Stegostoma tigrinum: one gene and its partners. Each later gene encodes a partner of the first gene's protein in a complex. Links are inferred from orthologs where the notes say so. Each region holds a gene or a part of one and is shown on either strand. Other genes may lie near its edges.

Region 1 (10,491 bases):
AATAAGAACACATTTAAAACAATGTCTAGTAATATAACATTGCTGTAATTTGACCAGAATTTTAGAATGTACAATGCCATTGGAATAGTGTCACAGTTTGTTAAATTTCTTCAAATGGTTACTCAAAACTCTCCATTAAACTCTTTTCAAGAACAAATTCTTCAATCACCCTCAAAGGCCCTTTCCAACTGTACCTTTCCAAGCAAATGCAGCAGATGCAACACCTGTTCTTTCTTCAGGTCTAAGGCCTCAAAACAATTCCAGGCTAAACAGCAATTTACTTGCTTTCATTTGCTAGCTTGGATTACTTTCCCTTATTTTCTCTCAAAAGGTAGCTGATCATGATCTGCCATTCACACCTCTCCAACTACATTTTTTATTTGTTTACTTATTCGAATACTAAAACTTCTTTGGCTTTGCATAATGACACTATTATTTAATCTCTCCTGTCCTCCACTTAAAATACATTTCAGTACAGAAGTGACAGAGTCATAACAGAGTCAAATTGTTGTCTGTTTCTCTCTCCCCAGAAGCTGCCAGAGCTGGAGTTGCATTTTTTTTTAAATTTCATATTTCCAGCATCCACTGCATTTTGCTTTTATTTACAGCAAGTCAGTAAACAGTTGAGTACCTGAATATTGTACAAACTTAGCCAAGTTAAAATGTGTTTCCAATTCTGCACCATGTGTTAACATTAGCAGATGTCAACTATCCATCCGTAAGAGTTTACAAGCTGGTTGAAATGAAGAATATAACATTTATTCTCTTATCTCAGCACTACATTCAGTGTACAATGGAATGCACAAAAGAATCTACATGACCAGGTCAACGCATGGTGGACAACTGAATTATTTATGCTTATCAACTACCACAGATACTGCAAAAGTACATTTTGTACTGAACGGCTTTACTGAATATAACTCAGAGTTCTTTGAAAAAAGATATTAACAACTGATTATAAAAATATTAAAAACCAAATAATTTCTACATAAATTGCACATACTTTTTGGATAAGGCATTCTGTAGATTAGCACTGTAGGTTTAAGCCAGAAAGTATACACTTTTTTGTGCACGACAGATATTGTTTTTTCAGTCAATCCCTAAGTAAGGAACACTATCTACAATGCCAGTCACAAGTGTTCATTCTCAGGATACCAAACTGTGGAAACAAGTGTTCCAATAAGATTCAAGCACATTTAGACATTTTACAACATTGCTAGGTATCATTCCTCTTAACAATCCTCACGCTTCCAACTGGTTTGTTTCTCGAGCTAAAGTGGCACTCTTTCTATCTCTCTGCAACTCCCACAGAATTATGAATCATTTAAAAAGAATGAGGCTTGAAGCATTATTTTTCAACCTAATATCACCTGACCTCTTCATCCCATAGATGGAGGCCGAGAAAGATGACGATAACCACTGAACTAAGCAAAAATCAGAGTTGGAGAAGAACATTTACATCAGAACAACAAGGGAATGAAGGGATCAAAATGCAATGCTGTCACAAAATGGAGCCATTGCGACAAAGGCTGAGCAAAGCCTGTGCAGTATTAGAATCAGTTTTGGATTAATTGAAGCTTATGGAAGATGGAGAATGTGAAGTCTTCCAAAGGAGTAATTATTTTTCTTAAGTCATTTAATTGTATTCTTGGCTAAGCCAGCATTTACTGGCCATCCCTAGTTGCCCAAAGGGCAGTTGTGAGTCAACTACATTGCAGTGGGTCAAAGTTACATGTAGGTCAGACAATGAGGGCAGTTTCCTTCCCAAAAAGGGCAGTGAACCAGATAGGTTTTTCCAACAATAGATAACAGTTACACAATCCTCATTAGACTCAATTTCAGCTTTAGTTTAATTCAAATCCCTTCAAAATGTCATGGCAGGATTCAAACAGGTCCCCAGAACGTTTCCTGGCTCCCTGGTTTAATAGCCAAACATTAACACCACTGAGCCATTGTCTCTCCAAAACTGAGTTGTAGAAGATAATAACTAACAGTGATGAAATCCATTTGAAAAAGAATTAGAAGTTCTGTTGTACAACCAACTTCTAAAGTATTTGTGCAATGATTCCTGAATTTAAGCATACCTCACACTTGAAGGGGTGTTGTAACAATGACAGAGGCTGGCACATAAAAACAAACATCTTGCATAGATTATACCAAGAATGGCTAGTTCCATGGTTCTTAAATTTTAAGATTGGCTCCAAAGCATCAAATACGTAAATTAGTTAATAAATTGTTACAGTGAGATATAGATCAGTAGCAGATATAGCAGGGAAAATTGGCAGATGGAGTTTAATTCAGGTAAGTGTGAGGTGCTGCATTTTGGGAGATCATATATTTAGGAAACAGCAGAACCCTGGAACAGCATAGATGTACAGAGGGATCTTGGGGTTCATATCCATAGCTCTCTGAAAGTGGCCACAAGACCACTCCAACCTCAGGGGGAGTTGTAGGTTAGGTGGGCTTCAGATCGGTATGACAGGTCAGCACAACATCGAGGGCCGAAGGGCCTGTACTGTGCTGTAATGTTCTATAATTGTGAAGGGACAATGTGTGAATGAATTTCAAAAGTAGATGGAAGAGGCAGAAATTAAACTGAGCAATGTGAAAGTGGTGCAAGTTGGCATTCAAACAATGGAGAGGATGAGGTCAGAGATTCACCTCAGGGTGCCAGGTGGCATTGATGTCAACAACTGAATGTCAGATTGCAACCAGGGTAGAAGATTACAACTTATGTTCTACAACCAACTCCTATAATATGCGGGCAGCAAACTCTGAATTTAAATATACTTTACACTGGGAGGTCGAGTTGTACAAATCAAAGTTCCTAAAGGAGGTAAGCGTTTAAGAAAACTAACACCTGTATATCGCGAATACAAAATATCAAGAATGGCTAGCCTCACGGTAGAAACATTAATTTGGCTAAACTGCAGAAACGCCATATGTCAAGGGCATTCGTAATTAATTAATAAATTATTTTTAAAAGAAAAAGTGAAAGACAGGGAAAAAATGAATGGCGACAGTATTGGCGATATTACTGCGGGATACAAGAGTCATGCTACAAGTTTCATTGAATATAAAGGATAAAATTAGACCATAAACCCGAACTTTGGCGTACTCACTTTCGTCCTGCCGTTAATATTATAACTGCCGAGTTTCCCGTTGCAGTGCCTGATCAGATCGTCCATGCTGTTCATTAAGAGCCCAATCTGCGTACAACCGGACTCCTTCCCATCCATCCAGGTGATCTGGTCACCCCGGATGTCTCTCGATGAGTCCCCTCTCTGATTGACCACCTGGCCATCGGTGAACCGGCCGCTCCGGCGCAGTTCCTTTACCTCCCTCAGCACACTGTCGCCCATCTCCTCTCCCAGGAAGTTGTCCACCACGCAGATGCCGTGCTTGCTCATACATGGCACGATGTACTCCTGCACCAGTTTCTGGGAGCTGCCGCCGCTCAATCCGTGCTGGCCCCGGTGACTCCGGCTACTGATGCCAGCCCCGGGTACCAGATGGGAAGCCGTTGTCGCCTCTTCATTCTTCTCCGCCGGCTGTCCGTTGACCGAAGCTGGTGACAGGGGCTTCGGCAGCGGCGGATGGTGGTTACTGTTCGCCGAAGCATTTCGCGTGTCGTCGCCCTGTCGTCTCGCCGCCTCTTTACAGACCTGCTTGTGTTTTTTCCAGTCCATTTTCTGGTGCTCTTTGCTGCAGTAGAACGATCTTTTGCAGCCCCCGCAGAGCAATAATTTCTCCATTTTGCCGCATAGGCCACAGCTCTGATCCTGCTCTACGGTCGGCGGCAGTGGCGGAGATTCATGCGTCGGACTACTCTCGCTAGCCATGTCCGGGACGGGGAAGGGGGTGGGGTGGGGGGAAAAGGAGAAGTAGGGGGGTAAACCTAGGTAAATTCAATAGCAATGGATGGAGGGAGAGGAAGGGGGGGGGGAATTAAGACGAGGATCGAAAAGGGATGATGGAAAGAAGAGCAAATGTCCTCCAACAGTAATGAAACTGACTTTCTTCCCTCCGCCCCCCCCCACCTTGCCCGCGCTTGCGCGTGCACGACGAACCACCTCCGCCCGCGAGCAGGATTCAAATGCTAACCGCTGAGGTCTCGCGCACTCTTCGCGTTAGCGAGATTTCCAGCAGGTGGGCGTATGCGTGAAAGGTATCGAATTTGATTTCTCCCCCTCCCGTCTCCTGCTCCTGTTTTAGTGTCTAATGCTTGCACCAGAAACTCTTTGCGGGCTTTCTCACACTGATCCATCATCAGCTGAAACATGTCCATCTTATGTTACGTCCTCACTTTCAATTCCTCCCTCTTTCTATGTCTTGCTCGGTTCGCCTCCAGTATAGGACAGGCGGAGCCACTGGTTTTCGTCACTTCGTTAAATACCCCAAATCGAAACCTTGCATTCCACTTCGACATGCACTGCCGCGGCAGCTGGATCGCAATCACCGCAGTACCCTGGCTGCTTGTTTATTCAGTGGACATCGTTTTATCCTGATCTCGCCGGCTCCTTCCATTTTTTTTGGAAATCCGAGTTCCGGCGGTGCATCTTGTTCACTCTCTTCTAGCACCCCTTTATATTCGTCCGGTACGATATCTGTGTGTGCGATTTCTGTTTCTTGTTCAGTTGTCATCCCTTAAAGTCAGTGTTGCCGTTAGTGGGAAATGCTGGAAAGAGCCAATCCGTCAGGCAACGTTCTGCGGATCAGCAAAACAGTTACAAGTTTCAGATCAGAGACATTCATCAGAACTTGACTAAAGGCCACCGATGAAACGTTACAATCCTGTTTAACCAGTCCTCCACTCTACCACAGAGCTTTGTTTCTGTTTTTTTAATAAACTGTTTTGAACATATACTGTAGTACCGTATAGAGGTTTATAAATGAGGAACAAATCACATGACAAAAATAAACAAGACTGGAAAAAGACAACACAAAATGATTCAAACTAATCCATTGTATTCTTATGTCAATCAAAAGTGACCCTGTAGTAATAAAAAACAGTCATATATTAAGTCTAATCTGTCATTTGTATCGTTGAAAACCTGAGATAATAGTTGCTGTGGGTTAAAACTGGCATAGAAAATGATGACAAAAAAGAGGAAAGATGCTGCCATTTATTGCTGGAAATCAAACCCAGGCCTCCCACATGGCAGGCCAGAATTATACCACTGAACCACCAATGCAACTTCTAAGGATGCCTACCCTGAAGAAGTTACCCTCCTCCCTCTGGAAAAACCTCAGTGGATGTCTCTCCCACTGAACCTCTCTCGTAATCTCTTTCTCCTAAAGATGCTGCCACACCTGATGAACTTTCCCCAGCAATTTCTTTCTGTTTGAGCTCGAAAATGATGAATGTGTGCTATGGCATATTTAGACCATAAATAAATAGGAACAGAAGTAGGCCAATGGGTCCCTTGAACCTGCTGTACCATTCAATAGGGTCACGGCTGAACCAACATTCCTGACGTCCACTTTCCTACCTTTATCCCATAACACTCGATTTCCTTACTGATCAAGAATCTATCTCAGCCTTAAATATACGTGAGGACTCTGGTCCCACATCTCTCTGTGGCAAGGAGTTCCAAAGACACAACCTTCTGAGAGTTCTGACTCAAAAAGTTAACTCTTGATTTTTCCTTCACAGATGCTGCCAGACCTGCTAAGATTTTCCAGCGACTTTTGAATTTGATTCTGAGGGAAGAAACCATTTCAGTCTTAAATGTGTCCCATTTATTTTCAAGATGGTGGTGGAGTACAGGGCTGAGCCTGGGACTCGTCTGTTACCATCTGCTTTCTTTCTCTTTTTGTTTTTTCTCTTGTTCCTTTTTCTTTTCTCTTCATGTTCTTTAAAGACTTGAGAGTGACGAAGGTGAAGAAAGAGGCCACCAGCAGCAATGCCAGGACGAGCCAGACATGGCTCCATCCCAGCCCGGGGTCACTCAGCAAGCAAAAAACAGGTCCTGGACTGACTGCCTTGGCCCAGAATCACAGGCTGAGCTAAGGTTTCAGGGCCGCAGCTAGGTCCAGGTCATGAAACGAGTGGAAGCATTGGCAAATGGACAGACAATGGCCACGCTGGAGGAGTAGTAAGTACAGAACCCATGCACCCCCAGGCCTGTGGCTCCAACTCAGATGCAGAGGTCATGGGAGTTGCAGTGGCAGAGGCCTGTAACTGAGACCCCGGAGACTGTTAGAGGGATCCTGGAGCCCATTTCAGAGACCTGGTAGATATCAAGCAGCAACTGGAGGAGCAGCAGAGGAAAAACAAGAACAAAAGAGAAAGATGAATTCTTTTGCTGTAAAATCTTATGTTATATTCAGCATTTCAAATTACACTGCACTTCTACAGTGATGACTTTGCATGTAGCACATGAAAAACACGCTCCACTGTATTTTCATATACGTGTGACAATAAATCTAAATCTAATCTTTAATCTGAGACTAAAAACCCTCTGGTCTTAGACTTTCCATGGTTGTGTATTTTTTACCTATCACCAAATCACCGTGACTTTATTTTTAACCTCTAACCACTACCAGTAAATCACACGTGGCCAATTAAATATTTACAGGAAATGTAAACTATCAGAAGGTTAGAGAGAGTGGGAAGGATTGGAGGTGGAAAGAATGTACTCTACATCTAGTGGTGCCCACCTCTCTAAAAGCATTAAGAGTATTGGTGGACACCACATGCTCCCTCTCCAAGGACACCCGGACACAAATGTAGCTACATGAGAGGAGCAGGCAGTCAGCAGAAAATCCCTTCTGCAATCCACTATCTGGACCCGTTAATAGCTAGCTAGGCCAGGTCCAGGAGTGGGTCCATGACAAGGTCCTCTGACTTGCCCACATCCCTCCATACCAGATGCCTAAAGATCAGGGGCATGGAGTTGATGTGCAACCAATAACATAACAAAAGATTTTTCAAATAAATAAAAGGGAATGCAAATGCCCACAACTAATATATATATATGATTCATATATACCACAGCATGGCAAATAAACAGGCTGAAAGTCCATGAATTTCCGCAATCTGTAGTTGCATGGGACTGTTTGCCTGCAACATCCTCCACTCCAGGACCCCAATGGAACAGGAGAGGGCACTGACATAAGGAGCTCTCCACTCGGGATCTAAGACATGTCCAGGCAGAGGACAAAGGAGTCAAAGTGAATGGTGTGCTGCAGCAGGCTGTACAAAAAAGCAACTCTACATGAGACAAAAGTACATGGAACGCATTCCCAAAAGTCACCTCAGGTTGAGAGGTACAGACTCCTGAGAGATGGTTAGGACCCTGGGGCTAATGTGAAATGTGACTGAGCTGAGGTGCGCGTAGACAGGATTCCACCATACACCGGAACATCTTCTAACTACTGCATGCTGTCGGGTCCAAGCACCACCACTTTCAGGCGACAGGGGCCACTGCCCTGTGTGCCACCTGTCAAGGCTCTTAAAAATCCTACCTGTTTCAATGAGATCATGTCTCATTCATATAAATTCCATTGAGTAGAGCTCCCAGTTTAACATTTGACCATAAGACAATCCTTCCGTACCAGAGAGCATCCTAGTAAACCTTCTCTGAATTGCCGACAATGAGATGACATTTTTCCATAAATATGGAGACCAAAACGTCTCACAGTACCCCAGATATAGTCTTATCAGCATGTTGTAAGGTTTCAGAAAGTCTTCCCTATTCCAATAATCCAAGCCCCTTGAAATAAAGGCCAACATTCCATTAGCCTTACTGATTATCCACTACACCTGTATGCTATCTTTCTGTGTTTCATGCACAAGTACCCTTAAGTCCCTTTGTGGCCAGAGCAAAAGGCTAAAGATAGTACCAGTAGCCCTCCTAAATAAATTACTTATATTTGCCTGCGTGGAGTCATAGAGCTGTGAAACTTCAGTCCAACCCATCCATGCTGACCAGATATCCGAAGTTAATATAATCCCATTTGCCAGCATTTGGCCCATATCTCTCCAAACCCCTACCTATTCATATAGCCATCCAGAGGCTATGTTGTAATTGAACCAGCCTCCACCACTTCCTCTGGCAATTCATTCCATACGCACACCACCCTCTGTATGAAAAATTTGCCAATTAGGTCCTTTTTAAATCTTTCCTCTCACCTTAAACCTATGCCTTCTAGTTTTGGACACTGCTATCCCAGGGAAAAGACAATGGCTATTCACCCTATCTATGCCCATCATGATTTTAAAAACTTCTATAAGGTCACCCCTCAGCCTCAATTTTCCAGCCTTTTGGGCTCTCCATACAGCTCAAACCCTTCAACCCTGGCAACATTTTTGTAAATATTTTCTGAGCCCTTTCAAGTTTCACAATATCCTTCCTGTAACAGGGAGACCAGAATTAATGTAGAAATCCAAAAGTGGCCTAACCAATGCAGATGTCAAAACATAAGCCACTTAGCTGCTCTTCTGCTGTGAGCTCCCCATGCAGGTTTCTCCAATGTCAGCTGTGAATTTCACTGTTTGTTTATTTTTCTTCAAACAAACTCCAAAGTCTAGAGGTCTTGTTACAAAACAGCAAAAGCAGTCAGCTATTCAGATTTAATGCTGGGTCACACAGCTGTGCAGGTTTACTGCTCATTATGACATATCCCATGTGGTATCTGCTCTCTCTCTCTCTTCCTCCTTTTATAAAGTGCTGTTGTTTTGATCTCTTTTTCCCAAAGTTCCAAAACAATGCAACAGCTTATAACACAGTAATTACTGCTCTAAACATTTAGGGAAATCAGCTTCAACACTGAAAATAGCTCAAGAAAGGAGCAGCTTGTACAGTCACTTTTTTTTCAATCCTTCATCTTGGATTACCTATGTCACAAAGTTGCATAAAGTACTCATGAAATAGAACACAAAAATTTAGAATTTGTTTGTAAAAATGACCGGAAGAAATGGTGCATGGTTCTCTTAAGAGATAAAATGCTTTTCTAAGCTTAGAGATTTACACAGAAATAAAAGTCTGTAAGTAGCTGAAGATGTACAGACATTTCTGAAGTTGAATCATATCAATTGGCACTGTGTTTGGAAACCTTCAGCTTGTTTTGATGTTCTGGCAACTAGCTTGAAACAGCCAATTAATTTAAACTAAGCACTGAGCAATTGAAAACCTATTAAATTTAAATCTGATGGTTTTGACAACCTTGGGCCAATGCCATTGTATGAATATTGATGTGTCATCCAAGATATATGAGAAGAGGGTTTTCAAATTCAGGTGAGAGAAGACTATCATCTGAGAAATAAACAGAAAACTCTCACAGAAATCTCTAAGCTCTTTGTAAAAGAAAATGCCATTTATCCAAAAAAACTAGCATGGCACTTCTAGCTAAAAGTCCTCTTGGAACGATTCACAGACAAAACATCTCTGACAGCAGGATCAGTGGAAGAAAGGCATTTATGACTTGAGAACAGCAGAAGACAGGCATTCATGACTGGAGAGATGGTGGAGAAGGCAGAGCATTCCAGAAGACATAGTCTGTGCGGACTTTGAGAGACTAAGTTGCTTTAATTACATGGGTTATATAGGTGGGACTTGTGTTATTGGAATAGTATACCAGTAGAATTTTGTTCAGTGGGGGAAGAGCTAGGAGTTAGGTGAAATTGTTCGGTTTGTTAGTAGTTCTGTTGATTTGTTAACTGTTAGGGTTAGAAAATAAATTGTTACTGGTTACTTATGAAATGAATATCAGGGATTTTCTTTCATTTAACTTCTCTTTCTCTGTAACACCTAGAATTCTTTGCTTGCATGCTTTCCTTTTCTCATGCAAAGATTACTAGCCAAAGAAAACCAAAAAGAGAGAGGGGGAAAAAGAGAGAGAGAAAAGAGGGAAAAAGAAAGTGAGGGGGAAAGGAAGAAAGGAGAAGAATGTTTGAGTTGGAAAAGATAAAACTGGAACTAGAAGCAAAAAGATTTCTAATGGCAGAAGGAAAAGTACAAGATAGAAGTGAGGATGAACAAACTTATCGTAGCCAACAGTCTGGAAGGGATATATGTAAACATGCCCAATGATTACCAATGTTTGATGAAAATGATGTAGAAGCTTTTTTTATTTCCTTTTAGAAATTGGCCAGGCAGATAAATAGGTCAGCGACTGTGTGTATAATGTTAATTCAGACCAAGTTGGTAGGCAGGGCTAGTGAAGTGTTTGCAGCACTGCCAGAGGACGTGTCAGGAGGCTATGAAGGAGTCAAAAAGGGCTATTTTGAGTGCCTACGAATTAGTACCAGAAGTATATAGACAACACTTCGGAAATATAAGAAAGGAAACAGGTCAAACTTATGTCGAGCTTGAAAGAATTACATGTAGCAATTTTGATAGATGTGTGAGAGCATTAAAAGATAGAAAAGATACTTTAGGGTCTTAGAGAAGTTGTTCTGCTGGAGGAATTTAAAAAACTCACTTCCAGAAATGATAAGAACTCATGTTGAGGAACAGAAAGTTCAAACTGAGAGAAGAGCTGCTG
Region 2 (9,806 bases), on another chromosome or scaffold:
AACTTGGCACCTTTACATGGGATAGGCAAAATAAACACCATTCTAGTCACCCCACAGTCCACTGAACCCCACCGGGTCAGTGGGAGTTGGGGGGTGTGGGGGAGTTTGGGGACGTCAGAATGGACCTGTAGTGTCTTTACTTTCAAGACTGGAAACATAATGAAGCTGGACTTTAAACCCATTTTTTGGCTGTTGTCAAGTGTGCAGGAGTCAGCAAAGGGCGTTCTGTAGAAAGTGTTACAAAGGAAACAACCTGCAGATTGCATATATTCATTACTCAAATCGATTTTTAAAGTCAGAATCATGGTCAGAAAGCGCCCCAAAAGCGTTCCTGCTGCTAGCTAACTTTGTTCTGGATTCCTACATGTAAAAAAGCAGGACGTGGTATTTCTGTAGTTATTTTGAACAGAAAGTAAACACAAATTAGGTTTAAATCTCTCAAGGGGATGCTTCGTATTGAACGCCGGCATTGAGGCCCGTTTGCTCTGAGACACATTAGCCAGTCTTCGTTATCAATTAGAGAGACTGAATGAGTTGGATAAGGGTTTGAGAGGCTCCCTACACAAGCGCCGATTCAGGGAGCGAACCCACGCCGCGGTCATCACTCTTTGTCACACTCGGAACCATCGGAGCTAAGCGGCCCCAACACATTCACTTACAATCGTCCTATCACTCATGTCGGCGTTATAACGTGTTGTAACTTGCACTGAACCAGCCGTCTTTAAAGGTAACTGCGGAGTTCGGTCTTCCCGGCATAAAACAGAACAAAACATAAACCACCTGCTGTCCAAGCCACTGAAAGCATTAGCCCTCATCGAACAGAAAAGGATAACAAACTAAAAAGTCACAGTCCCTGCTCAGTGTGAGAAAGTTTCGTTTGCTCTCTCTCTCCCTCTTCTGTGAACGCCAAAACTAGTCCTGACCTGTTAAAAAAAAATCCGCCACGACTCGAAATCAGTTTTATTGAAGCGTTTACAAATAATGTTGGAAGCGGGACTGTCCAGTCTCTGAGAACATATGAATTTCGTCAGGAATGCGCAGAGGACACAAGTCAGTCTTTACAGCCTTTCAATTCATAACGCAAAATCTAACAGCAACTGTCAAATAAATAAAAGCCTATTGGCTAAACAAAAGTTGCCTTGTACATATGACTATAACTCAGTAAACATCAACAGCACACCAGCGTTATCAGAAATGTGTTGACATATTGCGCTCCTCATGGTTTATCTATTTGGAATAGATTGGCACGACCCAAACCCCAGCAACACAGCTCCCCAATATTTAGAGGCTTTCCAACCCAGATTACGGATAGCGAAGCTTCTTCAAATGCATACGTTTGTCAGGTAATTTCTCATTATGATTGTTCCAATTTCCGTTTTAAATTGTATCCTCAAAACGTTGTGATATGCTTAGTAAATGGGGTATAGTCAACACATTATAAGACGAGGATCATTCGATATAGGAGCAGAATTAGGCCAGTCTGCCAAGTGAGTCTGGTTCACCATTCGATCACGGCAGATATGTTTCTGGTTCCCATTCTCCTGTCTTCCTTCCTTGATCCCTTTACTATCTATGGCTGTCATAAATACACTCAATGACTCAGCACCACAACCTTTGGTGACAATGAGTTCCACAAATTCACCACCCTCTCGTCTGAAGAAATTCCTACTCATCTCAGTTCTAAAAGGTTTTCTCTTTAGGCCTATCCCCTGCGGTTGTGCTCTCGGTTTCTACTCTCTTCTACTCCTGAAAATATCTTCTCCACGTTCATTCTATGCAGGCCTCTCAATATTCTGTAAATTTCAATAAGCGATCCCCCCTCCAAGTTCCCACCCACCCCACCCCCATCCTTTTAAACTCCATGATGTAAAGACCCAGAAACATCAACTGCTCCTCATAAGACAAGACCTTCATCCCCAGGAATGATTCTTGTAAATCTCATCTCGACCCCCTCAACCACCAGCACATCCTTCATTAGGTATGGGGAGTAAAACTGCTCACAATATTCCAAACGCAGTCTGACCAGAGCCTTGCACAGCTTCAATAGTACATCTTTACTCTTGTATTCTAACCCACTTCAATGGTAACATTGCATTTGCCTTCCTAACTACCAACTGGGCTTGCATGGACTGGGTTAAGGTCAACTGCCATCACAAACAGTGAATCTCATTCCTGATTCCGCCCTCACGACGAAGTAGTAATTCTGGACAGGCAAACTCCTTAATTAAGAGTACCATATTCGACATTCTGCTTACGTCTAACTTCAACTGGCATTTAATCTGTTTCTGATTCTAACCCAGCCTCAGGACAGACCCTGCCTTTCACCCACACACTGACGGTAAAGCTGCTGTTGAAATCGCTCAAGTATTAACAGTAGCTAGCCGCACCTTGACAATGTGAGTCCTTTCTACCTCAGGGACGCCATTTCACTCAGCAAAACTACCCAGAGCCACCAACTCCAACAAATTGTCCCAACGTCACTCCTTAGGTGCAACCAGCAGCTCTCTCCAAATGCCCAGGACACGAGCGGGGGTTGGGGAGAGGGGGTGTTGGATGCAATCTATGCATCCTTTGTTTTGCATGTCTGTGTTTTTGCTTTTATCCAATGTTGAACCTTCAGCAGATGTGGGCTGTACAGAGGCTTGTCTGATGCTTCTGTCGTTCAGGGCGCGTTGTCACACTCAATTCCAGCCGACCTCTAGTCATTTGGAGATGAATGCAATAGCCATTTGCAGGCTGACTAGTTTCTGAGGGTATTATTCTCCTTGCAAATAACAACACACCGTTATATTATAAAAGTCCTGCTGTAAAATTCCGTGTTCTGTCGAAATGCAAAGGTTCTCTCGAAAGAGAGGAAGGAGGGGAAATGTCGGTTTTTTTTTAGTGCAGCCGCAAATGTACCATAGTAGTCGGGAGCAAAAGCTTCATAACCTCGATAAAGTTGCTGTTCGGTACGAGTTCTCCATCGGGGAGATGACATGCCCGACCACAGAGTTGCCCCCTCTAGTCTGTCGGCCAGGCCTCGCCTGCCTGTTGATGATACACTGCGCAGCAGTGGCAATGTAAACAGGTGAAGGAGAACATTGATCGATCAATAGGTCACTATTTAAACAGCGCAGGCCCACTCGCTCAGTTTGAGCCAACTTTTCCCTTCTGGGTTTTGCCCTTGGGGAAGGCTTTGAGGGACGTATTGCCAACATTGCTGGCCCTCAGAGCCAGGTCTGTCTACAGGCAGGTAGCAGCTGATAGCCTCCGAGAGACAGGCAAGCTGTCAACACTTCAGAACGCAGCCCGAGCGCCCCAATCAAAAACAAGGAGAACGGTTAATTATTGATCATTTCGTCTATTCCCGTCTCCTGTCAGCTTACGCCGAATGTCGGAGGTGTGGAGTCCAGTCCCTCAAGAACTTTTTAATGATATGGACAAAATCAGCCCGCACCTTATCAGAAATAAATTATTGCTAACTTCATCAGAACAAATGCAATGTCATTTCTTACCTTTTCTTCTCCTTCTCTGCTGTCATGGTTTGGACGATTAAGTTCACAGAAGCAAAAGAAAAACAGACCGAGAAGCGCTGTTGACAACCGGAGGCTCAATTTTACAGTGTAATACGGATAGAAAGAAGCATAATTTGATTTTTTTTGTTTCCACTTTCTCTGCCTTGCTCACGAAGCTTTTTTTTCTTTGCTTTGTCAGTCTCTCTCGCTTATCTCTTCATGTGGGTTTCTTTTTTTTTAAATGCCTAGTTGGGTCAAACAGTTGAGATCATGAAGCAACCCGGAAACGAGAGGCGACCGTACAGTCTCAGAACACTGCTGAGGATTGTACAGCCACTTCGAGGCAAAGACCAATTATAAAGAGGACAGGCAGGAGAAAAAGTTTCGCTGTTAGACTCTCGTACTGGGGCGGGAGGTTCAAGCTTCGGCTGAAGGCGGGGTTTCTCTCTCTCTCTCGTCCTTCTTGGGCCAGATGACAGGTCGTAAATGGATTTTCGACATGCGATAGGTTGCGGCCGGGCCCCGCCCCGCCCATCGATCTGGGTCATTTTGGGGCTTTTTTCCCCACTCTCTCTGCCGGAACAGTTGGGAGCGGACGGGGTAGGAGCACCCATCCTTGTTACATAATTTTTTTTGTTCACAAGTTCTTATCTGTTAAAAGATTTCCTTGGAAAGAAATACTAGTGACGAAATTGCCTGACTACACGTAAACTAGACAAGGGAATAAAAAAATTGCCAAACAACATGGTCCTCGGATGGATTCCAGTTGCTTCTTCATCTCATGAGGATCTCACTCAATTGATAACGTTTTCTAAACACACTAGTTAAGAGAACTCCCTAGATATTTCCCATCGGTGCTCCTTAAAAAATATCACCAGCGCAGAATCAGTATTTAAATACTATATAATTGAAGATTGGTTACAGCACAGCAGAGAGCCATTCGGCCCGTGGGTTCCGTGCTAGACCTCTGTCAAACCTACTACAACAGCTCCACTTTCTTCCTGCCCCCGCTCCTCCCCACTGCCCCTGCATTGCTTCCGTCTCCTCAGCTGCTTATCTAATTCCCCAACGAAATCTGTCCTCATCACATTTCTCGACGTGCATTCCAGGTCCTCACCAATTGGCGAATTAAAAATTATTGCCCTCACGTCACTTTGGACCTTATTGTCATTTGTCTTAAATCAGTATCCTCTTTCTTTATCCTTTCTGGCCAGTAATTTCTAATCACTTATGATCTTCAGCATTTCTATCAAATGTGCTCTCAACCTTTTGTCCAAGGAGATCAACCCAACTTCTCCAACCACATAACTGAAAGACTTTATTCCCAGCACAATAAGTATGAAAACGGTGGCGTTGGAATTGATAAACAAAACATACCTAGTAGTCTTCAAACTAAACATACTTCGGTTTTCATTTCAGCAAAATTCAACCTGGTTTATTCTACTGCTCTGAATATTTCCTACACCAGAGAGAGGCTTATCAAATATTTGAAACAAAAACAGAAGTTGCTGGAAAAGCTCAGCTGGTCTGGCAGCACCTGTGAAGAGAAAATCGGCGTTAATATTTCGGGTCCGAGTTTGGGCAAGGGTCATCGGACCCGAAACGTTAACCCTGATTTTATCTGCACAGATGCTGCGAGATCTGCTGAGATTTTCCAGCAACCTCTGTTCTTGTTTCTGATTTACAGCATCTGTATTTCTTTCGGTTTTTACTTCCCAAAACTTTGCTCTGAGATCCGTTTGAAATATTTTTAGAAAGTATTCTGCGTTGGAATTGTTTTCCACTCAGGTTCAAAGCACTTGCAGTCCGAGACCGATTTACAAAGGTCCACTGTCGCTTGGCAATTTTTCGTGAGGAAAGACTATCCATTGGATACAGATTCGCTGGTGGCGTCAGTCTCATCTGTGACCAGCAAATTCTCCCACACAGATGCAAATGAATGTGTAGTCACTGTTGGGGACAATTGGATCTATTCTTTATCTCTTTCCTGGTAATTCTACGCTCAGTTCCAAAGGTGGCTGTAGCATTCCTGATGAAGCAAGTCTAGGCATCACAATCTATGACCCACTCCACCCACTAGCAATAGTCAGTGTGATAAATAGATTGTGACTTCCCCACGCAGTACTAGAAATGGTTGTAAGTGGGCCCTTCTGTTCCTGCTACAATGGATAGCTTTCTGTACAACCTAATTTTATGCCATCAATTGTTGTCCATCCAGGCAACATGACCAATGCAAAGTTGGTTTTGCAGAAGGATAGCCTCAATTCTGGTGATGCTGGCTGTCTCCAGGATTTCAGTGTTTCTGATACAGTCCTGCTAATGGATCTGAGGATATCATGAAGGCAACACTGTTCGAAGTGCTCTGGAAGATGTACATGTTGGCTGTTTAGGACACTTGAGCCAGTGCCTCATGGAGGATAGTGAGGACTGCAGATTGGCACATTTTGAGTTTGGCCTGTTCTGTAAGGTTTTGGGTTCTCCCCAGATAGCTACTAAAGTGCTTCAGAACAAAGGGCATTAAGTGTAACAGTTAAAGATGTACTGAGTCTCCCTGAAAGGGTATGTAAAAATATTTGAATGAGGATCTGTATTGTAACTGTTGAATGATCTGCTGTAATATTGAAGTTCTGGGAAAAAATGTTCCAGTAAACAGTTAAGAGCTGGGAAATCCCTTCATATATCATGGGAATTTTAATAATATAAATCTTGATTTATCATCTATTAATAGCTTCTAGGACAAAGTTATGGCTGCAGTTATACTGCTATTTTTAGATGAGCGACTGAGAATTATTTCCCAAGTTGCAGTAAGGTGAAGATTTAGTTCAATTATAGGATTCCTCAATATGGATAGTGGAAAGAAAACTAGTGTCAGGAATTAAAGGATTCCCAGAAAATGTTTCATAGAGTTTAGGTGTGGAGAAGAACATTAAAGGAATTAACTATACCACCATGAAGTTAGGCCTTTAAAAGCATTGACTGCAAGGTTACAATTGCTTCCTGCATGTTGAGGAAAAGTTTAATTCTTCATTTAAATGCATGTATTTGTGAATAACGTTCACATATTCATGGCCTAAATACATTCAGGTATTGGGAAACACTTGTATTCCTTGGATCATCAGACCTCGCTGTAGCATGTGTCTCAGGGTAACAAGCTGAAGCAAGCCAAGGACTCAATCATTTCTCAGACGCAGAGACCAGAGTTTAGTGCTGAAAACAAGTCAGGTTTATTCACTTAGCTAACTAGGTGTAGAGCTGCATGAACACAGCTGGCAAAGCAGCATCAGAGGAGCAGGAAAGCTGGTGTTTCAGGTCGAGACCCTTCTTCAGAAATGGGGGAGGGGAAGGGGATTCTGAAATAAACAGGGAGAGAGGGGGTGGCGGATAGAAGATGGATAAAGGAGAGGATAGGTGTAGAGGAGACAGACAGGTCAAAGAGGTGGGGTTGGAGCCAGTAAAGGTGAATGTAGGTGGGGAGTTAGGGAGGGGATATGTTGGTCCAGAGAGGACAGACAGGTCAAGGAGGTGCGATGAGGTTACTGGGTAGGAGATGGGGGTGGAGATTGACGTGGAAGGACAGGTTAGGGAGGCAGGAATGAGCTGGTGATAATGGCAACTGCAGATGCTGGAGAATCTAAGATAATAAAATGTGAGGCTGGATGAACACAGCAGGCCCAGCAGCATCTCAGGAGCACAAAAGCTGACGTTTCGGGCCTAGACCCTTCATCAGAGAGGGGGATGGGGTGAGGATTCTGGAATAAATAGGAAGAGAGGGGGAGGCGGACCGAAGATGGAGAGAAAAGAAGATAGGTGGAGAGGAGATTATAGGTGGGGAGGTAGGGAGGGGATAGGTCAGTCCAGGGAAGACAGACAGGTCAAGGAGTTGGGATGAGGTTAGTAGGTAGGAGATGGAGGTGCGGCTTGGGGTGGGAGGAAGGGATGGGTGAGAGGAAGAACAGGTTAGGGAGGCAGCGACAGGTTGGACTGGTTTTGGGATGCAGTGGGTGGAGGGGAAGAGCTGGGCTGGTTGTGTGGTGCAGTGGGGGGAGGGGATGAACTGGGCTGGTTTAGGGATGCGGTGGGGGAAGGGGAGATTTTGAAGCTGGGCTTGTTTTGGGATGCGGTCGGGGGAGGGGAGATTTTGAAGCTTGTGAAGTCCACATTGATGCCCTTGGGCTGTAGGGCAGTCAAGCGAAAAATGAGATGCTGTTCCTGCAGCTTTCGGGTGGCATTGTTGTGGCACTGCAGGAGGCCCAGAATGGACATGTCATCCAAGGAGTGGGAGGGGGAGTTGAAATGGTTCGTGACTGGGAAATGCAGTTGTTTTTTGCAAACTGAGCATAGGTGTTCTGCAAAGCAGTCCCCAAGCCGTCACTTGGTTTCTCCAATGTAGAAGAGGCCACAACAGGAACAGCGGATATAGTATGCCACATTAGCAAATGTGCAGGTGAACATCTGTTTGATGTGGAAGGTCTACTTAGGGCCTGGGTTGGGGCTGAGAGTGGAGGGGTAGGGGCAGGTGTAGCACTTCCTGTGGTTGCAGGGGAATGTGCCGGGTGTGGTGGGGCTGCAGGGGAGTGTGGAGTGGACAAGGGAGTCCCGGAGAGAGTGGTCCCTCCAGAAAGCAGATAAAGGTGGGGAGGGAAAATTGTCTTGTGGTGGGGTCAGATTGCAGATGACGGCAGTGTCGAAGGATGATGCATTGGATTCGAAGGTTGTTGGGGTGGTACATGAGACATTTTTCCCTCCCCACCCTTATCTGTTTTCCGGAGGGACCACTCCCTCCATGACTCCCTTGTCCGCTCCATACTCCCCTCCAGCCCCAACACCCCCAACACTTTTCCCTGTAACCGCAGGAAGTGCTACACCTGCCCCTACACCTCCCCTCTCACCCCCATCCCAGGCCCTAAAAAGACCTTTCACTTCAAACAGATGCTCACCCGCCTGTCTGCTAATGTGGTATACTGCATACATTGTTCCCGTCGTGACCTCTTCTACATTGGGGAAACCAAGCAGGTGCTTGGGAACTGCTTTGCGGAACATCTATGCTCGGTTCACAACAAGCAACTCCATGTCGCAGTCATGAACCATTTCAACTCCCCTTCCCACTCCTTGGATGACATGTCCATTCTGGGCCTCCTGCATTGCCACAATGATGCCACCCGAAAGCTGCAAGAGCAGCATCTCAAATTTCGCTTGGGAGCCGTGCAGCCCAAGGGTATCAATGTGGACTTCACAAGCTTCAAAACCTCCCCTCCCCCGACCACATCCCAAAACCAGGCCAGCTCTTTCCTGCCTCCCTAACCATTCCTCCCACCTCAAGCCCCACCCCCATGTCCTACCAATTAATCTCATCCCGTCTCCTTGACTGTTCATCCTTCCTGGACTGACCAATCCCTTCCCTGACTGCCCAACTACATTCACCTTCACTGGCTTCAACCCCACCTCTTTGACCTGTCTGTCTCCTCTCCACCTATCTTCTCCTTTATCCGTCTTCTATCTGCCTTCCCCTCTCTCCCTATTTATTTCTGAATTCCCTTCCCCTTCCCCATTTCTGCGGAAGGGTCTCGACCCAAAACATCAGCTTTCCTGCTCCTTTGATGCAGCTTGGCCTGCTGTGTTCACCCAGCTCTACACCTTGTTATCACCGATTCTCCAGCATCTGCAGTCTCTGTAACAGGTTTATTCAATTGTTGAGCTGTGCTTTTAAATACGGCAATGCAAGGTACAGGAACATTTCATTTTTAATTAATTCTCGGCAGATGAGTATAGCTGGCAAGATCAGGCTGTATTGTCCATTCTTAATTGCCCTTGAAGTGGCTGGTAGTGGGCTGGTTTCTTGAATCATTACAATCCATTTAGTAGGTGAATCCAAGTTAATGTTTCAGGTCCAGTGATCCTTTGAGACTTCTGAGCAATGGTCACCAGACCCAAATCTTTAACTCTGTTGTTTTCCTTCATAGATGCTGAGCTTTCCCAACAACTTTGCTTTTGTTCCTGATTTACAGCATCCACAGTTCTTTTGGCTGTTTTTAGTAGGTGAATCCATTGTTCTGTACGGAAGGCAGTGGCAGAATGTTGACCCAGTGACGGTGAAGGAACTATATCATCAGCAGAGTCTTCCCAGACCCTGAAAGGTGTGGGCTGTGATGGGAAACTTGGAAGAATTGCACGAGAAGCCAAACAAGGCCTTTCTCAAGATAACAAAGTGTGAAGCTGGATGAACACAGCAGGCCAAGCAGCATCTCAGGAGCAGAAAAGTTGACGTTTCGGGCCTAGGCCTTTCTCAATATCAGTAGTAATAAGTCTCAT
Region 3 (9,626 bases), on another chromosome or scaffold:
TGGGTCTACTAACAGCAAAAGGACTGCTCAACACTACATGGGCAACGAGGAACAGGCAATAAATGCTGGCCCAGACAGTAATGTCCACACCCCAGAAGTGAACAAAACAAAAAATAATAAATGGAAACTATTTTGCATGTTGTAAAATCACTGTTGAAATTAGTGAGCCATTGATTTGTCTTTAGACGATATCAGCCAAAATAAGGGCAATTTTGAATCGTAGGGCTCATGGAATTTAATGTTCACTTGAACACTAATTCATCACTATCCATTTTTAAAACTGGAAAGAGTTAAGTTTGACATGGAGGTGTCAGTGTTGGTCTGGTGCGGACAAGCTCAGAAGTCAACGGCAGCAGGTTATTGTCAACAGGTTTATTTGAAATCACAAACTTTTGGAGCACTATTTCTTTGTCAGGTGAAATAAAAAGAGAAGCTCACAGGCACAGAATTTACGGGCAGAGAGATCAAAATATCATACAAATGGTGTGAGTGGAGTGTCAGTGGTCTGAATAACATCTCTGCAGGTGATCAAAAGTATCAGATGGCATTACTGAAGTGTCACAAGGTAAGGGATGACTTATACTTCCCCAGAGCAGAGAAACCTGCCACTGTCTTCGTCACTGATGATGAACATCTTACCAAGATCATCCCTACACGTCAACCTCTCCCCTTCAAACTACTGCCAAACCATAAACATTCACAGCAATCTAGCCTTCAGGCCAACACAGACCACACCCCTGCCACAGCAACCGCTGCAAGGCATGCGAGATCAAGGATACTCGTGTCACACGTGATAACAACACCCACCACATTCATGGCAGATGCTCGTGTGACGCTGCCAATGTTATCTACCTCATATACTGCAGGCAAGGAGACCCTGACGCATGGTATATTGGCAAGAACATGCAGACAGTATGACAACAGATGAATGAACACTGCGTAACAATCACCAAACAGGAACATTCCATCCCAGTTGGGGAACTCTTCAGCAGTCAAAAGATATTCAGGTAAGCATCCTCCAGGGTAGCCTTCGCGATATATAACAATATAGAATCACAGTGCAAAAACCAATAGCCAAATTCCGTACTCATGAAGACTGCCTCAACTGTGATCTTGGGTTCATGCTGCCTTACATGTAACCCCACCATCCTATTCTGTATTTGTAATATCATCACCTTGATAACAAGTTATGATCTCTCTATTGTTTGTACAGTTTTGGACTACTTGTTAATTTGGTTAGACCCTTGGCATATGACTCTTCTACCGATCATGTTATTCCAGCCATTTGGAAAGTCTCCAGCATCAACTCATTTTAAACTTATCTAATTATCTCTCTGCCTCAATAAAAGGGATTATCAGTCATCCCTTCACTTGCTGTTCAATTGTTGACACTATACTCACATTGTCTGACACTTTTGATCACCTGTAGAGACATACTATTGAGCTTCTCAACACACCACTCACACCATTTGTATGATCTTTTGATTTCTCTGCCTATAAATTCTGTGCCTGTGTGCTTCTCATCATTTCACCTTACAAAGGAGTCGTGCTCCAAAAAGTTGTGATTTCAATTAAACCAGTTGGACAATAACCTGCTGCCATGTGACTTCTGACCTTGTCCACCCCAGTCCAACAGACACCTCCATGTCAAACTTAACTTTTTCCAGTTTGGATGGCCAAGAGGCTTCTTTCCAGCCCTGTTAGCCCAAACATCTTTCAGTTCTGACTGTGTGAAAACTCATACATGAATTCTTACAGGTTGGAACCTTCGCATGTGAAAATTCTTCTAAGACAGAATTCGTTTCCTGAACTAAAGCCAGATTCTGAACAGAACTCAAAACAACAAGCCCTACCTAAACGCCCTTTAGAAAAAAAAGACTCCACTTTGTAAACACTTTAATTAACTCTCAGGTATCTAGTTAGGCACTTAGTTACATGCGTTCTTGAAAATTACATCTTCGTGTCTTTTCCAATGACTTTCGGACGTCTATTTAAGAAACATTTTAACCAAAACCAAAATCACATCAGCCTCAATTTTAAAAATTCATAAACAGTAATATATTGTACACCTGTATCACAGTAAGTAACAGTACAACTGCGATCCAAAATCATAAGTCAGGGAGAGAAACACAGAACATAGGAGCAGGAGGTGACCATTTGGCCCCTTGAGCCTGCTCTGCCATTTTTCACAATCATGGCTGTTCGTCCAACTCAACAGCCTAATTCTGCTTTCTCCCCGTAACACTTGATCCCATTTGCCCCAAGTGCTATCTCTCGTTGCTTCTTGAATACGTTCAGTGTTTTGGCATCAACTATTTTAATTCCACAGGCTCACCGCTCTTTGAGTGAAGAACTGTCTCCTCATCTCTGTCCTAAATGGTCTATCCTGAATCCTCAGATGGTGACCCCAGTTCTGGACAAATCCGTCATTGGGAACATCTACCATGTCCTCACCTCGTTCGTCTGAATTCCAGCAAAAACAATCCCAACCTAGTCAATCTTTCCTCATACATCAGACACACCATTCTTGGAATCAACCTGGTAAACCTTCGCTGCACTCCCTCGAGTGTAAAAGCATCCTTCCTCAAAAGGAGACCAAAACTGCACACAATATTCTGAGTGTGGCTTCACCAAGACCTGAATAACTGCAACAACACACCTGTTCCTGTACTGAAAAATCTCTTGCAATGAAGGCCAACATACCATTCAAACATTATTGATCCTAACTGGTCAGAATTGGCCTAAACTAGGGTCTCTATCGTTTGATGCATCCCTCATTCTCTTCACCCCCACCAGTGGTCGCTGTGCCTTAAACACCTGACCTCACCTCTCCACCCACAGACTCATGGAATTCCATCTCTAAGCCCTGCTACATCTTTTGAAAACAACAGTCATTAACCAAGGTTTAGTTTACTTGGGTATGGTAGCCATTTTGTCATCCACCTACATGAAAAACCCTGAATGTTTAAGACATGATAATAATTAATCAGAACAACTTGCACTTAAAGTATTTAGATAGGGTATGTTATTTTAAAATTGTTTATAGAATCAAGATTCAGCAACAACTTTATTCTGAAAGCATCCAATTACATTTGAAACTATAATGCATATTAAAAAAATACCAGATACATTGGCCTCAATTAGGTAGTCAGCAGCACTTCAGGCCACTTTACCTCAAGTTGCACTACCCATCCCACTCCAAATATGCAGCAAATCTTTGGTATGGTTGTTGCTTTTCCTGACAACGATTTAAAAATAGGATATCTTCATCTACAGTATCAGAGATGTAAGCAAGCATGTAAGCAACCAAAGGGATTGAGTATTCCCATGCAAATACAATCTCCAATGCTTTTAAATTTTCAAATATTGAGATGACTGACTGTTTATACAGCAAACCTTTTAGTTAGGTGGCACCCATAGGACTAGGCAAGTGTCGGGTGATAAAATATTCTGGATAATCATGACATGCACACAACTGCAGTAAATTCTGGCCAAGCAAAGGTTCCAGTATCAATATCCCTCAAAAAAGCCTACCAAAACATCACCACACCTCCTAAAATCCATGTAAAAATGCATGCTAAGTCAGAGAAATGTGAAGATGGGGACGTTTACATCACTGGTATAATTTATTTACAGCATAAATACTCATATCACAGTAGATCTCAGTACAGTATTTGTGAATTTTGCCAGTTAAAACAAAGTTGTATTTATTTGTACTCATTTTAACTGTTAGCCGGAAGAAAAAATATAAATGAAATAGCTATTACTTAAATTTTTGTCTAGAATGTCAATTTTTTTATTTCTCAGGAGCAATGAGAGAGTTTGAGTAGCCATAGGGTATAACATTTTTGTGGGTTTTTGACAGTAAGATGCACAATGCAAAACTGGAAATGTTCGTTAGTTCAAGTAATTCCCATTATTGTGTAGTGAGGAGGAGGAGGGGTGTTTCAACAACACGGCCTTTAGAAAAGAATCTCAGAAACTTTTGGGATTTCCATAGTTCAGTGGAATGAAGGCAACGGCGACTAATAGCTTCATTATCAGCACTGTCCCACAATCCAGCCAATAATACTGTAAACATTTGCAGCATTTCTCCACTTAGCATAAAATAAAATGATGTCGTGTTTGGAAATAAGTAGCTAGTACAGAGGCACAGTTTCAGTGAAATGAGACCTATGAAGCAAAAAAAAATTAACAAACGGCATGCCAAATCTTTCCTTCCATGTTGGGTGCAAAATAAATCTGTGGCAACTTATGGAAAAGCTACGTAAATGTTCTAAAGCTATTAGAGTTTGGGCACAAAGAAATTGCTGTGTATTTATACTTCATCTTTCAAACGTCCTCAGAACATTCCAAAGTGCTTCACAGCCAGTAAATTAGTTTAAATTGTTAGTCACTTATATAAAAATGCTACCTACTTTAAATTACTACAAATTACTCACCAGCATTAAGCAATTTTCTCATGCGCAAGTAGCTGATAGTTAGCCTCATGATAGACGCTTTATCGAGATGAGAAGTGACACTGTGAGGAAGAGGGAGTTCACGAGCCAGTTCATAGAAGACCTCCGACTCTTTGCCCCTTCGGAATCTCGCAGCATCACGAGACTTCTCCTTTCTTCTCTCGGAACTACCACTGCTGGTATTCAAAGTAGAACTGTAAGAAGCCATGTCAGCTAACAAGAATGCAACAAATAGCTTCACGTGCACCTTAAATTCAATTCCAGAACAGGGAACATATGGCAAATACTGCCAATAATCACACAAGGCACAAAACAACCTCAAACCCTGCTTAGGAAGTAACAGGAAAAATACCAAACCTTAACATTTTGCAGAGGGCAAAAAAAAATACAGTGATGTGTTTAAATAAACTTCAGATTGGCTGCATTGCGTATTGCTTGACGACTCCACAAAGATAAATCTTCAAAACAGAGTAACATAAATGAGCTCCTAAGACTTGACCGTTTTGATGCAGCATCTTTAACAAGTAAAGTCTTAAACTTTAGAGATTGCCCATGAAACACTGTTAAGAATCTTAACTCCGAATAGTACTCTGAACTGAAATGGTTATTCAACTTTTGGAATATACAATCTAATACAATATGAAAGAAAAGATAAACAGACAGACAAATATTTGATTAAATACTTCATTTTTATTTTACTCGCAGAAGGCAAATACAGAAGAAAGCTGTTCGTGGTACCATACTGTTATTTATAACAGAACTTCAGTCATTGAAGTCAAAACTGTCAGATTCAGGGATTGGGATTAGCCTGAAAATCTATTGTCAATTGAACTATTGAATGTTTTCCTAATTTTTCCCATTTTACAACACTCATCTCTCAGATCAATAAGCAACTCCTTGTTAAGAAAAACCATTATTTGAAAATTTTCTATCTCCTACGGCAGTCAATGAAACAAAATCAAGTGATTAAAAGGTATGTAGTTACCCTCAGCAAAGTCCATCAATTATTGTGGCTCAGCAGTCAGCCAGTCCTTCCAGGTCAGTAAGACAGCTTCTTCCAAGTACGCCTTTGGGCTAGAGCCTATTGTTTTAGCTGAGAGAGAGAATGTAGACACTCAACCTATATCCATGTGGATACATTTCATCCTTGCCAATGGACCCAACCCATTAATTTGCCAAAATACTTATGACCTGTTTCAAAGGTACAAATACACACACTTCCCTAAGTTCACTGGAAAGACAGCGGGAGACAGAGCCTGAGCTGATTTCTGCCATCCCAAGTTCAGAGAGCCCAACCAATTAATCAACAATTGACCAGGCCGGTGATCTTCCTGTCTTTGCACTGCTCGTCAAAAAAATGAACTCAATTATGAATTTAAAAAAAGATGTAGTCATGTATTCTAATAGTTTAAATTCAGTAAGTAAACTTTGATTTTTATTTCAACTGAAAAAAGTGATCACATTAACAAATTTAGATTCCCCAGGGTTTAGCGCTACATAGTGCTAAAGGCCTCTTCTTAACCGAGATTTTACATTCAATTTCCAGTAGCCTAAATAAAGGCATGCCAAAATCCATGTGGTTCGAGGAGCCGGGGGTAAGACAAGGCTAAGGATATTGCTGTGACAATTGCAATCCTTAATACCCACACTCACCACTAGATGACACTGTAACAAAACCAAAACAATATTTCTTTTGTGAGATCAAACATACTGAAAAGCAGCTAAAATGAAAAGTTTTAAAAATATCAATCCCAAATGAAAACCTTTTTTGAAAAACCTCAATCATGTACTCGGTTTATGGTTATTATTGTGAAAAACAACTGCAACAATTATAGTGGTATTCGAAAAGCAGATCATCAATATTGCATACTGAGCCACCTGCCTAACTTGAACAGCTGGATACTTTCTGAATACCAGACTAACATTTCAATTATACAGTTAGATTGTAACATTATTACAATATTTGCACTATTCAATCTTAAAAGAAACAAAGGCAAAGTTGGAGCAACACAAAGGAGAGAGTGTAAGGAGAGCATTACATACAAAGTTTCAGATCTCAAATGTTAACATTGTTTTCCTCTCTTGAAATGCTGCAACACCAGAGTATCTTTAGGTTTCCTTTACTATTTTTCTTTCCGATCAAAGGTTTCCGGGTCACAAAACTGAGTTACTTTGAAAATAATCCATAGCTTATTTAACGTGTACCAGTAACATTTTTTTAAAGCAATGAAGTAACATCAAATAAAATTCTCCTGTAGAATAATCTATATTTGCTGCAGATTCTTAAGAACAGAATTAAACAAATGCGCTCTTTCAGCCTGTTCCATAATTTAATGAGATCACAGATGACCTGCAGCACATCTCCATTCCCTGCCTTTGCCCAATACCCCTCATTATCTTTGGCTAACAAAATTGGCAACCTTAATCCATGTAATCTAGCATGAATTTTCATACAAGTTGCAAACTTCTACTACCTTGCATAGAAGTTGACTTCACTGACTTAACACAACTTTTAGATTGCACTCTCTCAAGTCCCAGGCTCCCTAACTGGTAGGGCAATCTGTATTAAACAACCTACCTTGAAAGCTGTGCTTACACTGCACAACTTCTTTTAAAAGAACAATGTGGATTGATTTAGAAATTGCCCAATGTCCCGAAGTTTACAAAACGCCCAAAAAATATCTGTGATCTGAACCTGCATCTTTGCCAAAAAACTCATCTAAGTGAGTTGGTGGCAAAGTGCTAATGTCACTGGAGCTTATTATTATTTGGATTACTATTCCAATCTAATGATCTGGGAACTCACGTTCAAAATCTTACTGTGGCAGATGGTGAAATTTGAGCTCAATAAACCTGGAATTAAAAATAGCTGTGTTAAATGGTGACCATAACAAAGTGTGGGGCTGGATGAACACAGCAGGCCAAGCAGCATCTGAGGAGCACAAAAGCTGACGTTCCGGGCCAAGACCCTTCATCAGAAAAGGGGGATGGGGAGAGGATTCTGAAATAAATAGGGAGAGAGGGGGAGGCAGACCGAAGATGGAGAGAAAAGAAGATAAGTGGAGAGGAGAGTATGGGTGGGGAGGTAGGGAGGGGATAAGTCAATCCGGGGAGGACGGACAGGTCAAGGGAGCAGGATGAGGTTAGTAGGTAGAAAGTGGAGGTGTGGCTTGAGGTGGGAGGAGGGGATAGGTGAGAGGAAGAACAGGTTAGGCAGGCAGGGCTGGTTTTGGGATGCAGTGGGGGGAGGGGAGATTTTGAAGCTGGTGAAATCCACATTGATACCATTGGGCTGCAGGGTTTCCAAGAGGAACATAGAACATAGAACATTACAGCACAGTACGAGCCCTTTGGCCCTCGATGTTGTGCCGACCTGTCATACCGATCTCAAGCCCATCTAACCTACACTATTCCATGTACGTCCATATGCTTGTCCAACGACGACTTAAATGTACCTAAAGTTGGCGAATCTACTACCGTTGCAGGCAAAGCGTTCCATTTCCTTACTACTCTGAGTAAATAAACTACCTCTGACATCTGTCCCATATCTTTCACCCCTCAATTTAAAGCTATGCCCCCTCGTGCTCGCTGTCACCATCCTAGGAAAAAGGCTCTCCCTATCCACCCTATCTAACCCTCTGATTATTTTATATGTCTCAATTAAGTCACCTCTCAACCTTCTTCTAACGAAAACAGCCTCAAGTCCCTCAGCCTTTCCTCGTAAGACCTTCCCTCCGTACCAGGCAACATCCTAGTAAATCTCCCCTGCACCCTTTCCAAAGCTTCCACATCCTTCTTATAAGTGAGTTATGAGAATATGAGTTGCTGTTCCTGCAACCTACGAGTGGCATCATTATGGCACTGCAGGAGGCCCAGGATGGACATGTAGACTAAGGAATGGGAAGGGGAGTTGAAATGGTTCGCGACTGGGAGGTGCAGTTGTTTACTGTGAACTGAGTGTAGGTGTTCTACAAAGCGGATGACAAAATGGTGACCATGTTGATGGTTGTAAACACAAACTTCTTTTCAGAAGGATGTGTGTCATCTGGCTTACACATGACACCAGATCTACATCAATGCTATTTTTTCCAAGCTAAATTGAGTCAAGTTGCAAGGCACTCTGTTCCAGGGCTATTAGACAGAGGCAATAAAAACAGTCCTAGCTATGGATGCTCAAATCAACAAACAAAATTTAAAAATGTGTCTCCTTGGCCAGTGAACTCTCTCTCTCTACCAAATTTTGTTGAAATCTACCGCGGAGTTTTTGTGAAAAAAAAAAATGTCATTGGTGGACTTAACAGCATTCAAACTTTGCTACCACTCAGGTCAAAACAGGTGAGGTGTTTGACACCAGTTCGACCACCTGAAATATTTACTCTCCAGCACTGACAGCAGTGTGTACTACCTACAAGTTGCAGTTCAGCATCTTCTAAAGGCTACTTTGACAGCACTTTCCAAAACTGCAACTTTTATTCTGCAGTTGGTGAATGGACAAGGGTGAGACGGAGGAAGTAGCTCTTTCGTGTCGTTGTGGCTACTGATTCATATGGCTGATCCAGTTCAGTTTCTGATCAGTGGTAACCTGCAGGATGTTGAATGGCAAATTTGGCATTGGTAATGCCATTAAATATCATGGAGAGATGGCCAATATCTGACAGTCAGATGGGAAATAACATTCCTGCCTCACATCAGCCCAAGCCTGGATATATTTAAAGGGTAGTGAAAACTGTTGGTCCAGTTCTCAAAATTTGTGTGTTCAAATTGACACAGAAAGCGACATTTTTTCTTACATGATCTTTTGCTCATTACTTTAATCGATCTATTCATTTCCAAATTTATACTTCTAGTATAAATGTCCATCGTCCTGCTCGTAGCTCCAGGTGCTTATCGGATTTACTTTAGACAGCTAAGAATGTATCTTCTACCACAAACGTAGGCAGTGCACCTGAAGTTCCCAACCACCCGCTGCACAAAAACACTTTCATGTTGCAGTTGGGTCTTTTGTCAAACACCTCACGTTGAGATCTCTGGCTCTTGACCCTTTTGCCAATGGAAACCACTTTAAGTGATAATTTTGAATGATACTAACAAATATGCTTTCAAACATCATGAAAAAGAACAGCTTCTTCAACCAGTCTAACTGAAGATATGTGCATAGTATTCGTT

What was found.
Region 2: the proteins of egln1a (region 1) and epas1b are in contact, whole or in part, in a crystal structure (PDB 7Q5X), measured with the Homo sapiens proteins. The link is inferred for Stegostoma tigrinum from reciprocal best matches to the Homo sapiens genes EGLN1 and EPAS1. Residues at the interface, in NP_071334.1 of Homo sapiens: Gln239, Leu240, Val241, Ser242, Lys244, Ile251, Arg252, Trp258, Asp277, Ile280, Arg281, Ile292, Asn293, Gly294, Arg295, Thr296, Lys297, Tyr310, Val311, Arg312, His313, Val314, Asp315, Pro317, Asn318, Asp320, Arg322, Arg370, Trp389, Tyr390; in NP_001421.2 of Homo sapiens: Asp525, Leu526, Glu527, Thr528, Leu529, Ala530, Pro531, Tyr532, Ile533, Pro534, Met535, Asp536, Gly537, Glu538, Asp539, Phe540, Gln541, Leu542.
Region 3: the proteins of egln1a (region 1) and hif1aa are in contact, whole or in part, in a crystal structure (PDB 3HQR), measured with the Homo sapiens proteins. The link is inferred for Stegostoma tigrinum from reciprocal best matches to the Homo sapiens genes EGLN1 and HIF1A. Residues at the interface, in NP_071334.1 of Homo sapiens: Gln239, Leu240, Val241, Ser242, Gln243, Lys244, Ile251, Arg252, Trp258, Lys262, Asp277, Ile280, Arg281, Ile292, Asn293, Gly294, Arg295, Thr296, Lys297, Tyr310, Val311, Arg312, His313, Val314, Asp315, Pro317, Asn318, Asp320, Arg322, Arg370; in NP_001521.1 of Homo sapiens: Leu559, Glu560, Met561, Leu562, Ala563, Pro564, Tyr565, Ile566, Pro567, Met568, Asp570, Asp571, Phe572, Gln573, Leu574.

What each region holds. Positions count from the first base shown.
Region 1 is NC_081357.1:97,148,256-97,158,746, forward strand, and holds the start of egln1a (prolyl hydroxylase EGLN3), read right to left. Parts: upstream 4,323-10,491; 5' UTR 3,843-4,322; coding exon 3,123-3,842; intron 1-3,122. UniProt on the Homo sapiens protein: Cellular oxygen sensor that catalyzes, under normoxic conditions, the post-translational formation of 4-hydroxyproline in hypoxia-inducible factor (HIF) alpha proteins.
Region 2 is NC_081362.1:68,838,203-68,848,008, forward strand, and holds the start of epas1b (endothelial PAS domain-containing protein 1b), read right to left. Parts: upstream 3,909-9,806; 5' UTR 3,524-3,908; coding exon 3,498-3,523; intron 1-3,497.
Region 3 is NC_081363.1:29,392,410-29,402,035, forward strand, and holds the start of hif1aa (hypoxia inducible factor 1 subunit alpha a), read right to left. Parts: upstream 4,669-9,626; coding exon 4,443-4,668; intron 1-4,442.